Linked DNA regions of Rattus norvegicus. The protein of the gene in region 2 purifies or fractionates together with the protein of the main gene of each other region. This does not show direct contact. Links are inferred from orthologs where the notes say so. Each region holds a gene or a part of one and is shown on either strand. Other genes may lie near its edges.

Region 1 (3,157 bases), about 160 Mb from region 2:
AAGTCTATCAAGGATTGAGAGAGCATCATCTGTCTGGGTGTTTTCCCACACATTTACATTTCACAAATGTTAAATTTGAAATGGTAGCAAGAGCCTTGCCTTCGCTTGTCTAATGTGAGCTAAGACTACAAGGCACTGTCCCATTGCATGTTTAGGATTATACCCAAAAGAATGCACTTTCTGGTTAAAAATGTTTTCAAAAAGAAATTTCATTTTTGTAGTTATATTAGTGTGATTTACTAGAGTTACTATGAAAATTGTTAGAAAATGTCCTTATTTACTTTCATATACTTAATTTTAAAATATTTGCTGCAAAGTGTTATTTCTCCTTTTGTCGTTTTTCCCTCCCACCCACCTTTCTGCCTAGGACATTAAATATCAAGGGCTCCTGGGTAAACTAGACAACCAGTGGACTGATATCACTAACATTATTTTAGCTGTAAGAAGGTAAGTTCTTCAGTAGATGGAAAATAGCAACCATTGAAAAACACCAAAAATTAGTGTGCCATGAATTATGGAATTTTAAAACATCAGTTTACTAAACTGAAATTCAACATTTATATTTTCATCAGAACTTAATAATCCCATAAATAAATAGAGCTCTCAATTATTTAAAAAAATCAAGGGATAACATATGTATTTAGACATATTAGCAGCGTAAAATGTATGCTTCAACACACTTATTGATAAAAAGTCCGAAAATATTACTACACTGAATTCAAGGGCATCCGCAGGAACCTGACATAGAAATTCTCTAGAATAACATTTCAGGAATTTCCAAAAAGAGGGAAGAGTCAAATAGGAAACAGCTTCAACGTAATCGACAAAGTTCAGTGCTTGCTCTAACTTGATTTTTTTGTCTCTCCATTGGGGGAGGGGGATTCAAGACGAGTGAGTCACTTTGAGGAAAGTTCATCTACTGGAATAAAGGGGGAGGCTGCTTGGGCAGGCGACACAGGAGAGTCGGTGGTAGTGCTGACTTTCGCTGGTGAATTACAGGAAGATCCGGCACTGCTGCTGTTTCCATCCAGGGTATCAGAAGATACACACACTCCGGGCTCTGACAGCTGTGCAACGTCAGAAGAAAGCATGTTGGTGATGCCCTGGAAAAATCTCTTTGGCTGATAATCAGTTTCCATTTCACATTTTCTTTTCAATGGTCCAAGAACACTTGGTCTAATGCAGTTGATGGGACTCTGGCTTCTCCGGGTAGTAAACCGGGTGGTTGGGCTGGGAATAGGACTTGGAGGCAATCCGTTGCTACTCACAAAACTTTGCAAGGACGGTGAAAAACACTGCTTCCCAATTCCCCGGGTGGGTGACGGTGCTGGAGACACCGGAATGAAATCGATGCGCTTTGGAGAGGCGGATTTCTCCACGTCGTTGTCACTCAGGCTGAAACTTTCCTCCCAGGAGTGGCTTATCTGCATTGCGGTCTGCACCTCGCGCTCGTGGACCGTCTCTCGGTTGATCAGGTCCATGCCCTCCTCTTGTTTGATCTGGTGCAGGCGGCTGCTGTGCATTCGGACCGGCGAGGCCGGGAGCAGCAGGCCGTGGCGGCTCGGGAACGTCGTGCTGTTCCTCCTGGCGCTAGGCGCCTCGGCCTGGAACACCGGCGAGGAGTCGCTGAGGCCGTGGATGAGGGGGGCGCTGTTAGACCTCCGGAGGCCCCCGCTGCCCGGGCCGCCGCCTTCCGCTGGGCTAGCGCCCGTGCCCGCGGGCAGCTCCAGGTCCAGTTCCATCTTCTCCTGAGCCATGTCGCGGCAGGGAGGCGGGGGCGGTGCTCAGTCAGGGCCCTGGGACTCCCATTCCCCGCGGCCCAAGGCCGCCGCCGCCGCCGCCTTCGAGAATCTGTCAGAGGGCTCACGCCTCTGCGCATGCGTGTCCCTTCGCGCAGGCGTCCTGACACGCTCGTTCTTGAGGCGCCAGCTTAATGCGTCATTGCTGTGGCGCCGCGGCGGGGAAGGGGCGAGCAGTGGTTGGGCGACTCCTCTGTTCGTTCCTTCCGCAAATAATCACTGGGCGCGGGCTCGCGGGAAGGCTGGTTAGAGAGGCCGGGGCGCTCAGAAGTATATGTTTATGAAGCAAGTATGAGCTCAGAAAGATAGTCCCTTGGTGATGTGGGGCTTCATGATGGAGCACGGTCTAGCCTGGGTGGGCTTCCCGAGGGATGGAGCACAGGCTTCTGAAGTCTAAAGGAGGCAACAGCGGCGCTTTGTAAAACTGTCCTGAAAGCGGGAAACCTCTGCTGCCCAGCTAGGTGGCAGATGGGAACCAGTAGAAGAGAGTTGTTAGCCTGATGGTGGACAAGAATAGGTTCTGGTCTTTCTTGAGAACAATAAAAACTCCCAGGCGTTCTCAAAGAAGGATAGAAGGGTACAGTAGCAGCTGAACTATTGGAGCCTTAGGCTGAGATCTGAAGAATAAGACATGGGAGTAGAACCCACAGGGAAAAGGCCAAAGAGGAGGGTAATTTACCCCAGGGCTGAATCTGGGAGGGGAAAGGGAGAGAATAGTAGACTTAAGGTGATTGGGAGGAAGAAGCTTTGTGACATTTTTTTAAAGTTGTCATATTTCTGCTGCTAACCATTTACTTACTCATGCTCACTCGGTATGGGAATTCAATGAAAGAAAAAAAATGCACACATTTAAAGAATAACAGGTTTTGGTTTATGTAATTAATACAAAACTTTGTATCTCATTAAATAGAATTGTATTTGTTCATTTATTCAGTCAACTCTCCTATCCGGGCACACCTACTTACTGTATTAGGAAATGAGACTTGTGTGAGGTCATTCACTTGCTACTGGATGGGAGTGGGGATTGACAAAATAGGAGACTTTTGGTGTTAAGTGTTTGGGAGAAAAGTGGGATGGTGTGGTCTAGCACTACTGATGGAAGTTAAGGGACAATTGGGCAGAGTTAAGTTGTAAGTTACAAATCCTGTGGACTGCAGAAGGTGGGGGCAGGACCAAGCGTTCCAACCAATGCTTAAGGGCCAACAGACCCACTGGCTTGGCGACGAACAGGAAAGAAAAAGCAAGATGGAGACAGTGATCTTGGAGGGCAAAGGACTGAGCACCTAGTCCTTTGATGAGAAGACACTGAGCAGTGTTAGGCAAGGGAATAATAGGCTTGTGCTTTGTTCATCTGTTAT
Region 2 (3,516 bases):
TTCTGGCTATTGTCCCTTAACACAAAATATCCACCTAGTCTCACTCAGGGTAGCGGAGGCTATGCAAGGGGAAATGGGAACCACTGGATAAACTGAAAGAAGTATCCAGTTTCTGGAACACAAAGGAATGAATATGCTGTGTTTATTCTCTATCACTCATTTCTTCCCACTGACATGGAACTCTGTACCTTGAGATGCATGTGACAAATCTCTGACTAGAGGTATTATGAACTCCAATGTATCCATTCACACTCATTCCATAGGGCAGGGACATCTATGGGAACAGACATGTGGAGCAGCCGCACATTGGCTATGAAGAGAAACTTCTCCGGAAAACTGAAAATGCAGACCCAAGAGCCTTATTTTTTTCTTGTGGTGCTAGAAACTAAATCCAGAGCTATCAATGTTAAAACCTTTCAACTGACTTCACACACCATTTTTAAGAAAGACTTCTTGAGTACAAACAGCCTATGAAGCATCTTTGACCCAGTCTGGGAAAGGGGACAAATCTGCATTCACCATCACAGAATTAGCCACTGTGTAATCTACCAACAAGCTCCATTAAAGACTGTCAGTGGACAGCATCACACTAGTCTGGCTTCCCAGGACCTCTGGCCATCTCTCTTCTCTCTCCCTACCACTGGCTATACTTTCCTAACAGAAAGATCTCTTGCAGCTGCAGCACTTGCCTACAGGTTCAAATCCAATTCTCTAAACTCTTACCAGTGACTTCTTTCATTCTCCATAGTCTAAAGCCACTTGCACAAGCAAGTATGGTGACCAGACTGGCTATGGCCAACAGAGCATGTAGAAGACACAAGCTAGAGCTATTTCAATGGGACCTTCAGTGGGCCAGGAGACAAATTACAGCTGTGGCATCAGACCAAGAAAGCCAGGCCAGCAAGGCTAATCTGTCACAATAGGGCCAGCTGGAATGATGTGAGAGGAATAATCATAACTGACTAGATGTTACTGTATTCTAGTCTCTATGTCACCTAAAGCTTTAAACCGTGGCCCACCTCTCCCAGTACCTACAATTTCTGAGTGGAATTATGGAACACTTTATCTCTCTGTTCCTCTCTACTGGCACATTTGTAAGTCCTTAAAGATCACCACTGTCTTGGTCTTTGTTCATGTCCTAAATACTCAGGAGACAGATGAGTGCAAAATTAAGGGAACTTGAAGCAATGTCTGAGAAGAATGAATGAACAAGCAGACATGAATGCCTGTCATCTACTCAGCAAAGCAGGGAGTGTGGAGTGTGATGCCAAAATTTTATACTCTTGGATAATTGATTGATTCTGCAAACCTTTCTGCCACTCTTACCTCATCCTTCAGCTGAGCCAAGAACAGGGGCAAGAGGTGTTCGATGGTATTGTCTTTGCCCAGAATGGGAGAGAGGCCCATGATGACTGAAGCCAGTGCTGACTTGACATGTTGGTTGGCATCGGACACGAGTTCCTTCAGAAAAGAATGAAGGAGGTAACAAAGGTCAGAAATCCCCTTTAATTGCAACTGGTCACATAGATAGTAGCCCCGATGGCCCAAGAAGACCACAGTCTTCTGCTTTTCACATATGTGGGGCATCACAGGGCTGCACTGGATTTATTCTCAACAGGGATTGTTTGTTATGTGAACCCCAACCCAGGGTCACTGCCTCATTCTCCAAAAACTCTGTTCATAAGGGGACTCTGGTCTTGGAGCAGCAAATACATCCCTTAGACCTTAGGGTCAGCAGCAACCCTCAGATTTTGTCTACAGCTCAGTTACTACATCCCAAAAGGACTGAAAACCTGGCTTGGATCAGACTGTACCTAAAACAAAGTCTTCACCCATCTCTAGCAGTCTCAAATCCTACCATCAAACACTACTCTATTACCTTGATGCAGGGCAAGATCTGGGTCATGATCACATTCTCCCGGCAGTCAGCTGAGAGATTTTCACAGAACTCTGTGGGCAGGGACAGGAAGGTGCTGGTGAGACTTGATGCTCTGAGCCCATTTGTGCCTCTTAGAAAGCCACCCAACTAGTTGTGTTCTGGTTGCCAGCACCAACCTTTGACCTTGTGGGAGGCTGCGGCCCTCACCTCGGCCTCACAGTCTTTCATCAGGTTCTGGAAGGCAGGCACCAGATCTGTCTTAGTGATCTCAGGCCCAACTGCTTTCTGGAGCTGTACACAAAGAGAAGAGGAGCAGAACTGAAGAGTGTGGCAGCCACTCAGGGCTAAAGAGGCAAAAATGGAGAAGAAAGCACTAGAATGAGGTTAGGACACAGCACAAGGGACATAGTCCCAGCATAAAGACATGACCAATCAGTGAAGTTGTCACCTCTCTGATGACATCTTCAGAAATAGAACGATGGTTACAGGACATCCTCCACAGTATGTTTTACATTTATTGTTCAGGTTCTTTGAGGTTGAATTTCCCATTCCCTAAACACTGTTAAGTGGTTCCTGCTTTCACTAACATGAAAATATGTAAACATACTTAACAGTTTACTAAACTGGTTGGTATAATTTTCAAAAGTAAAATGATTAAAATGATTAAAAACAGTGAAGAAGGAAACACATGCCAGTAACAAGGATGTAGGAAAAGGATCTAGAACAGACAGCTTCAACTAGGTTGCTGGAAGAACAGTTGGGAGCAGGATGACTCTCTACTACTCAAAGAATTAAGCCTGCTTCCCTTGCAGATCAGAAGCCTGACTTGCCTTTACTTGGTACTACGCCTCCCAGGTACACATACTTCTACATGGCCAGGTCTCAAACTACTTTACTAGACCCAGGAATACAATCCTTAGGGATGAGTCTTCTAGCAGACCCCAGAAAACTAACCATCACAATGAGGAGCTCTTGTCCATCATTCCTGCCCCTTTGCTCACTTAATCTCAGCATCAGGCCATGAATGCTCCTGCTTTACTCTGTCTCTTATCTCCTACATACTCTGCACGGGCTTGTCTTTTTGTTCTGACATATTTCTTATCTAACTGCCACTCAATTGCAATGCCATCAAGCACACAGAACAAGACATAACATACTCCATTAGAACTAATATTTTTTAAAAGATTTATTTAAGAAGAGGGCATGTGACTGCATTACAGTAGGTTGTGAGCCACCATTGCTGAGAATGAACTCAGGACCTCTGGAAGAGCAGTCAGTGCTCTTAACCGCTAAGCCATCTCTCTAGCTCCCATCAGCACTTTCTAGTGAGGCTGACTTTTAGCCTGCTCCTTCAAGGCCAGGAATGTGTACACATAACTGACTCCAGAACCTCTACCAAAGGTAGTGCTAATAACAAACAAACAAACAAACAAAAGGACATAACTATGGACCTGCGAATATTGCAACAACAGTAGAGCACTTGCCTAACATGGGTTAAGAACTGGGTTCAACTCTCAGTATTAACAAGGGGAAAAACAACAACAAACCAACATGCTCTTGGCTAAGAAAATTTGGATCTTGGCACAAAGAGCACTTGTCCCTGATCTGACTAACATGTGGTTGATGACAACTATTAC
Region 3 (3,026 bases), on a different chromosome or scaffold from region 2:
ATTGGTAGTGGCCTTCTCAGTGGGCGGTAGTCTTAGTTACCATGTGAGGATGAGGCAGTTGACTCACACGGAACTTACCTAAGCCAAAACTTGCTCTACTTGGCAGTTTACAAAGCAGGCAAACAGGAAGCCTTTTCCTCATTGGTAAGAAATTCACCCTCACCCATGTGCTTCAATCCCAGCACTGTAAGGCAGCAAGCAGACCCAAAAGGCCAGTTTGGCCTATATAACCGCAGGACAGCAAGGGCTACAGAACCCAAGGTAATTAGCACCCACATTTGGGTTATGACTAACACCCAGTTGAAGTCTTTGAACCCATTACTACTTTTTCAAAACTGGGAGCAAGTGACACTTGTGTCTTGTGCTAAAGCCCACTACCAAATTTCAGTAGTGTGGGTCATTTGGTATTTCAGGAAGCAACATGGCAAATTCAGGAAAGAACTAGTGCAGGGGCAGCTGAACCACACTAGTAACTGCAGGAGAGGGAAGGGAAGAAACAAGAAGCCCAAACAGGCAGTTTCCAAGTAATTTTATTCAGAATTTTGTGTTTGTTTCCTGAATCAATAAATACTATACAAAACAATGTAAAAATGGCTACCATTTTCTCTCCCCTGCTCCCCTCACCTGGGGACAAGTCCCTGGACAACCTCATTCAGGGGGTTCTCCCTGTAGATTTGGTCCAGCAAATGAGGCCAGCCATGTTTTAGCCCCTTGACTCACTTTTGGAGATTTGGCTGGGGTAGGAAAGCCTTTAGGAATGAGGTGATTAGGTTAGGGAAATGCATTAGTGTTTGGGGGGGAAGGAGACGGCGCCTGGGGCAGAGCCTACCCCAAAGAAAAGGGTGTCTAAAATGTTCACGGTTCCTTCTTTTTGCCTCAAAAAGTGACATTTATTCAAAGAGAGAGAGAGAGAGAAAAAAAAAACAAAACAAAAAAACAAAAACAAGATGTCCATCCCTTGGCTCCCTTCCCTCCCCCCTCCAGCTGTTCCTCAGCCCTGCCCCCAGGACTGAACCCTGGGCTAGGGCCAGGTAGCAGGACAGCCCCTCAAATGAGGTCAGCAACGTTGAGGGGCATCTCTTCAATGGAGGTGTTGTAGAAAGTCTCAATGTCTCGAAGAGTCCTCTTGTCTTCTTCTGTCACCATGTTAATAGCCACACCTTTCCGGCCAAACCGACCACCTCGACCAATTCTGGGGGGGGGGGGGGGAGGTTAGTTTAAAAAGGCGTTAGGTTGGGGAAAGGAACGTGTTTTTTTTTTTTTAAGCACAGGGAGTGTTTGATCTGTCAGACCAGGTAAATACCTGTGGATGTAGTTTTCCCTGTTGGTGGGAAGGTCATAATTGATGACTAGGGAGACCTGCTGCACATCAATGCCTCTGGCCTAGGTCAAGAAAGAATAAAGCCATCAGAGGACACTATCAACCCTAATTTAGTAAGCATATATGTAGGCTGCCAAAGGAGGGCAAAGGAAACAAGTATTCCTTGTTCCCCAGAGACCTTGGACATGCCTGGCTTTCTTCCAAGTTGCTACGTTCCTAAAAAGGGCACATAGTCAGCCCTTTGGAGAGGGAATCACCTTGGGCTATTTTCTCCCTTTCTTTCCTTAAAAGAGCATCTACTCACCAACAGGTCAGTGGTAATTAATACTCTGCTAGAGCCAGACCGGAACTCCCTCATGATCACGTCTCGTTCCTTTTGGTCCATATCTCCATGCTGGAAAACAAGGTTAGGAGCAGCTAGCATAAGGCTCCTAACACACAAAGACACATCTATCATTAACAAGACTGAGAAAACTCACCATGGCAGAAACTGTGAAATCCCGGGCATGCATCTTCTCAGTGAGCCAGTCCACCTTCCTTCTGGTATTAATAAAGATTACTGCCTGGGTGATGGTCAGTGTTTCATACAAGTCACACAATGTGTCGAGCTTCCACTCCTGGAGATCAGGAAACATCAATCAGGAGCTATACCCAACACTTATTACCAGGCCCGCCTCCTGCACTGGGCCCCACCTCTCGTTCCACATTGATGTAGAATTGGCGGATACCCTCCAGGGTCAACTCTTCCTTCTTGACAAGAATCCGAATAGGGTCTCTCATGAACTTCTTAGTCACCTCAAGGACATCAGAAGGCATTGTGGCAGACAGCAAAACTACCTAGTGGGAAAAATGCCCCAGCCATGATTGAGTGCACTGTACAATCAAATCACAACCGAGCCACCGTCCCTCCAACACCATCTGTTTTACCTGTGTGTTGCTGTTGAGCTTTTGGAATATATCATAGATCTGATCCTTGAACCCACGGCTTAGCATTTCATCTGCTTCATCCAGGACGAACATCTTGATGTATTTGGGTGCTAGATGGCAGGAAAAAAAAAACCCCAACATATAGTAATCAGACAAATGTGAAATATATTGAGGTCTCTTGATAAGGCAGGCAGAAGGCAGACAGTCTGCTCTCAGAATGCAAGGACTGATCCTTTGCCCTCGGCTTCCCTGATAGGTCATGCAAAAGCCCTGGTAAGTAGAACACTACCTGGGCTAAGGTTAACAGGGAAGCCAGGCTCAGATGACACGCATGGGGTTCATCACAGAGCAACTCAATTCCAACTAAAGGAAAACTCATCCAAGGAAATGAAATGTAGAAAAGAGCCCAACAACTGTTCCATGGCACTCACACAGGTATCTCCGGTTAAGCATATCGAACACCCGGCCAGGGGTGCCCACGATGATATGGGGAGCTTCCATTTGCAGCTTCTGCACCTCAGCACGCACGTTGGTGCCCCCAATACAGGCATGACAAGAGGCACCCATGTAGTCTCCCAGTGCCATAACCACCTTTTGAATCTAAATGTAGAAAGGCATCTACATTAACTTGGGCAGTACCAGTGAGTTAAGTCTTTCTTATTACAGACAGGAATTATCCCACTCTTAGCAACTGAGAAACAGGAATCCACTTAATCCTCTTCCAACACCACCAATACCGCCACCAAATGGCAATGCTGGATCCGTCCACACAGGTTCA
Region 4 (3,987 bases), on a different chromosome or scaffold from region 2:
GTTTCTCTCCCTTTTTGACTAGTAAAGTGGGAGAGATATTTTCCACATTTTGTTACACAGTAAAAAAGTGAATCCAATTTAAAAAAGGAATACTTTCAATTTATTTACCTATTTTTTCAGTTTTGTCTTAACTAGTCATAATACTCTTAAATTATTTTAAACAGGTAGGCTCAAATTACAGAGGTATGCCTTTAAGAAACAAGTTTTCTTTCTTCTTTTGCTTCCTGCTTAGCCACATTTTCACCCACTCTACCACTAAGACATCTGCAGTCAGATTCTTACAGATGGTCCAGAACATTCTGCTGCTCATTAAAGAGAAACCACCACCTACCCACAGCAGCAATTGCCAGCTGGATACTTTTTAGCTTTTAGTTAAGAAAAATCTAAAGAAATTCAAGTAATTCTTGTTTCTTTTATTAGCAAATCTACTAATCATCCAATTTCTGGAGATACAAAAACATGGTATGATATGACATGTTTTTAGATGTCAAAAATTTAAATTGTTACTGCTCAGGTTGGTACTTCTAGTGTTATTAAATATGCAATAATATTATATTAACTGGCACATGAAAATAGCAACATAAAAATGTGTTTCAAGTCCTTAGAGAAATATTTTAAGAGATCAAGAATGTATATAGCCAGTTATGGGAGTATATACTTTTAATCCCAGCACTAGGGAGGCAGAGCCAGTTGATTTATCTGTGAACTTAAGGCCAGACTGGTCTACCTAGTGAGTTCTAGGACAGCTAGGACTATGTAGAGCCTCCAACAACCACCCATAAACAAACAAACAAAATGTTTATAAAGAACATATAAAAATGAGCATCTTGTTCAGCACATACACTATTTGAAAGTACAGAAAATTCCTACTGTCCTTGAATATTAATATACTTGGAGCTTTATGAAGAAAATCAATTCTTAAAGTTGAAAGGAACACAATTTGAGAGAAAGAGCACATTGAATCAAGACCAATTTATACACTCCCTAAAATTGTGGCTATGTTGTGTGTTCAAATTAACAATCCCAAAAAGAACTAACCTAACCCAAGCCAGTTATTTCTAACATATGGCCAAGAGTTGGAATTTTTCTTATGCTGAGCACTATCAAAAACATTTGCATCCCATAAGATCCTAGTTGTTAAACATGATACTAACATAATATAAAATCATTTGAATGCATAGGGTATGTGCATGCATGTGCATTTGATATTATATACAATCTCCATCCACTAAGAGCAAAAGTACAATTAATTACATAAGTGTTAGGGTTACAAGGCTGCTCATGTTCATGCTCAAAGCAGGTAAGGGCTTTTGGGTTCTAATATTCTGATTTTTAAGAGACAGAATTTTTATAGCAAATTCTTTAGAATGATTACATTATAAATAGTATATAATAATAATGCTTGCTATGAGCCAACACTGAACTAGCATTTGTTTTAAACATGAGTAAGACACGATTCCAGATTCAAGTTCAAGCTGGCAGGAGAGACAGGTAACTGAACAAATAATGCATCCTAATAAATACTGCGGAATTATGTCAAGAGCTCTGGGAGTTCACTGTGTTATCGATGTCACCCGAGGGAGTCTAAAAAGACGTAGGGTTTTGAGAGACGATGAGACAGAAGGAAAACCAAGCATCCCAACAGACTATCTGGGTTCACACAGCAGTGGCGGAAATGTGAGGTATGCTTGGGAAACCCCCAACAGCCGGGCATAAGTGGATGGTAAAAAATTAGGGGCGGCAACAGGATGGCCCTGAAGAGGTAAAATATGATTTAAGATAGGACGGTAAAAAGCCCTGACGGATCGGTAGGCTTAAATTAGAACTTGAAAAAGTTTAAGGAGAGAGAATGCATTTCACAGTAAGTATGGAAGGCTGAGGCGGGCACACCGGTTTGGGGTGGAGGAAGGGCAACTGTCATAGTCACAGTGAAAGAAGCAAAAAATCTGGTGCAGTGTGAGTGGAATACAGAGCCTTAGACAATTCTGAGGTCCGTGTTCTGGAAAGGGGGACGGTACTACGATCAGGGACCGGAAGAAAAGAGACAGGGTCCTCACTCTTGTCAAAGATGACAGTGGCAATATACGGCATGAGTCTTTCAAAGAATGGGATAAAGAAAGAATGCGTGCGGATCACACACACAAATAAGCATCCAGCCCCCACTCATCACTCTGGAAGCAGAGGAACTGCACTGTTCCTGAAAATGGTGGAAAGCACACACTTGGAGCTTCTGAAACATCTGTCTGAGGGAAGCCAGTTGTTCCAACTTGGAACAGAATTTGGAAGGGCGCTGAGGGATTCAAACGATCTCAGCAGCTCCCTCAGGATCGTGGCTAAGTCCCAGTCGCAAACGCGGTCGAGTGCGCTGAGGCAAACTCAACACCGACAAGTCCCTCCAGCCACCGCCCACGGAGCTCCGGAGTGGCAGGAAAGGAAACCCGGAAAGGGTGTCCCGTGGCCTGCAGGCCCGGGGGTTTTCATGGAACTTTCCGTACCTCTGTTCCCGGCAGGAGCTCAGTGAGAGCACGGAGACAGGGAGCCCGGCTCAGAGGTTCACCCACTCGTGTTTTTCCACTCAGCTTCAGTCCCCCTCAGCCGTCAGAGACGGCGACCACCACCCGCGAGATGGAGGCGCCCAGAGAGTGCTCTCCGCGGCCTCGCTGCGCCTGCTCAGCGAGCGGACACACAGCCCTGCTCACACAGCGGCAGGGAGGATCCGGCAGCCCGCTTGCCTCGGCTCCATCCCGGGCGGACCAGAACCTCCGCTACTGGCAGCCACACAGCGACAAGCCTCGCGAGACTTCCCTCCGCGAGTTACCGAAAGCCCCGCCCCCTGCAGGCGGCTGGCTGTTGATTGGTGGATGGGTAGGGGGCGGGGCTTCCCTCTTCTGCTCTCACGGGTTTGCTCTGGCGGCTCGCACTCTCTCGCGCGTTTTCCGAGGGGCTACCGGTCTGGACTGAAGGCGGAGAGGGGAGCTTGAGTGGGTGCGCTCTGCCTGTGCAGAGCCGAGGCCGGCTTATCCCGGCTGCGGCTAGTACTTTGGGGGTTCTCTCAGGTGGTCCTGACCATTCTTCCCAACGGTCGATTGGGAACAATCGTTAGAGCCTTCTTTTTTTTCCCCTCACTTGCTCCGCCCTCTTCCGGTTCGGCCTCTGGTAGCCTCTAAGGGGAAGGGGAAGATGGCGGGACTGTGCGAGAGCGCCGTGCGCACGCGCGAGCCCGAGTGCGCTTTGGTGGGTGCACGCGCATGCGCGCGCTCCTGCGTTTAAGAAGCCGGAGTGTTGGGCGATGAGCCGGGCAGTCAGTCTTCTGCGGGTGGTACCAGACCGTCTGTGCGCCGACTCCCCACCCACCCTCGTCTGCCTTCTCCCTTAGCCTCCGTTCGCTCACTACAGGACCAGGCACGAAAGTAAGCGAACCTCGACGCCGAGGGCTTTCCCGTCCACTCACCTTGTCCCCCCCCCCCCACCCCTCTACCTAGCAGCCAGGTGTGTGCAGAAGGTTGCAGACAGGGACTTTGGGCGGGGAGAGGCGGTGCGCTCCAGAGCAGCCGGAGGTAATAGCGGGTCCCTAAGATGCTTCGTTACACTTGCTCTGTTTCCCATGTGCTTTTAGAATGTAGATTTTTAAAAAAAAATTTTTTTTGCTCTAAAATTTTAAGAGCGAAGCGGGGCAGTGCACCACGTGTGTGTGTGTGTATACATGTATATATATGTGTGTGTGTGTGTGTATATATATATATATATATATATATATATATATATATATATATATATATATAAAAGTTTTAGAAGTGTTTCCTCCTCATCTGCATGAGATAGCATCTGTTCTGGTCTACATGGTGAATTACTGTAGTGTATTGCAAGTTGAGGGAGAGGATGAGAGTTTGGGCCATAGGAAGACCCAATATGCAAGTTACCTTAGGAGATGTGTGTGTATTTGGGGTTATACTTTTGCTGTCAGTCTTTTCCTGTGGATTTTCCTCG

What was found.
Region 1: the proteins of Ppp2r1a (region 2) and Pabir1 purify together in Homo sapiens (affinity purification with mass spectrometry; 4 studies listed by BioGRID and IntAct, counting the BioPlex papers as one, with this or other methods). This does not show direct contact. The link is inferred for Rattus norvegicus from reciprocal best matches to the Homo sapiens genes PPP2R1A and PABIR1.
Region 3: the proteins of Ppp2r1a (region 2) and Eif4a1 purify together in Homo sapiens (tandem affinity purification; 3 studies listed by BioGRID and IntAct, with this or other methods). This does not show direct contact. The link is inferred for Rattus norvegicus from reciprocal best matches to the Homo sapiens genes PPP2R1A and EIF4A1.
Region 4: the proteins of Ppp2r1a (region 2) and Fgfr1op2 purify together in Homo sapiens (affinity purification with mass spectrometry; 5 studies listed by BioGRID and IntAct, with this or other methods). This does not show direct contact. The link is inferred for Rattus norvegicus from reciprocal best matches to the Homo sapiens genes PPP2R1A and FGFR1OP2.

The regions. Positions count from the first base shown.
Region 1 is NC_086019.1:231,540,899-231,544,055, forward strand, and holds Pabir1 (P2R1A-PPP2R2A-interacting phosphatase regulator 1), read right to left. Parts: upstream 1,820-3,157; 5' UTR 1,758-1,819; coding exon 897-1,757; 3' UTR 513-896; downstream 1-512. UniProt on the Homo sapiens protein: Acts as an inhibitor of serine/threonine-protein phosphatase 2A (PP2A) activity. Inhibits PP2A activity by blocking the substrate binding site on PPP2R2A and the active site of PPP2CA.
Region 2 is NC_086019.1:69,223,185-69,226,700, reverse strand, and holds part of Ppp2r1a (serine/threonine-protein phosphatase 2A 65 kDa regulatory subunit A alpha isoform), read right to left. Parts: intron 2,171-3,516; coding exon 2,056-2,170; intron 1,951-2,055; coding exon 1,880-1,950; intron 1,462-1,879; coding exon 1,327-1,461; intron 1-1,326. UniProt on the Homo sapiens protein: The PR65 subunit of protein phosphatase 2A serves as a scaffolding molecule to coordinate the assembly of the catalytic subunit and a variable regulatory B subunit.
Region 3 is NC_086028.1:54,882,581-54,885,606, forward strand, and holds the end of Eif4a1 (eukaryotic initiation factor 4A-I), read right to left. Parts: intron 2,849-3,026; coding exon 2,680-2,848; intron 2,599-2,679; exon of another isoform or gene 2,457-2,598; intron 2,359-2,456; coding exon 2,249-2,358; intron 2,159-2,248; coding exon 2,015-2,158; intron 1,939-2,014; coding exon 1,801-1,938; intron 1,716-1,800; coding exon 1,626-1,715; intron 1,586-1,625; exon of another isoform or gene 1,443-1,585; intron 1,384-1,442; coding exon 1,304-1,383; intron 1,193-1,303; coding exon 1,048-1,192; 3' UTR 513-1,047; downstream 1-512. UniProt on the Homo sapiens protein: ATP-dependent RNA helicase which is a subunit of the eIF4F complex involved in cap recognition and is required for mRNA binding to ribosome.
Region 4 is NC_086022.1:181,221,123-181,225,109, reverse strand, and holds the start of Fgfr1op2 (FGFR1 oncogene partner 2 homolog), read right to left. Parts: upstream 2,813-3,987; 5' UTR 2,496-2,812; intron 1-2,495. UniProt on the Homo sapiens protein: May be involved in wound healing pathway.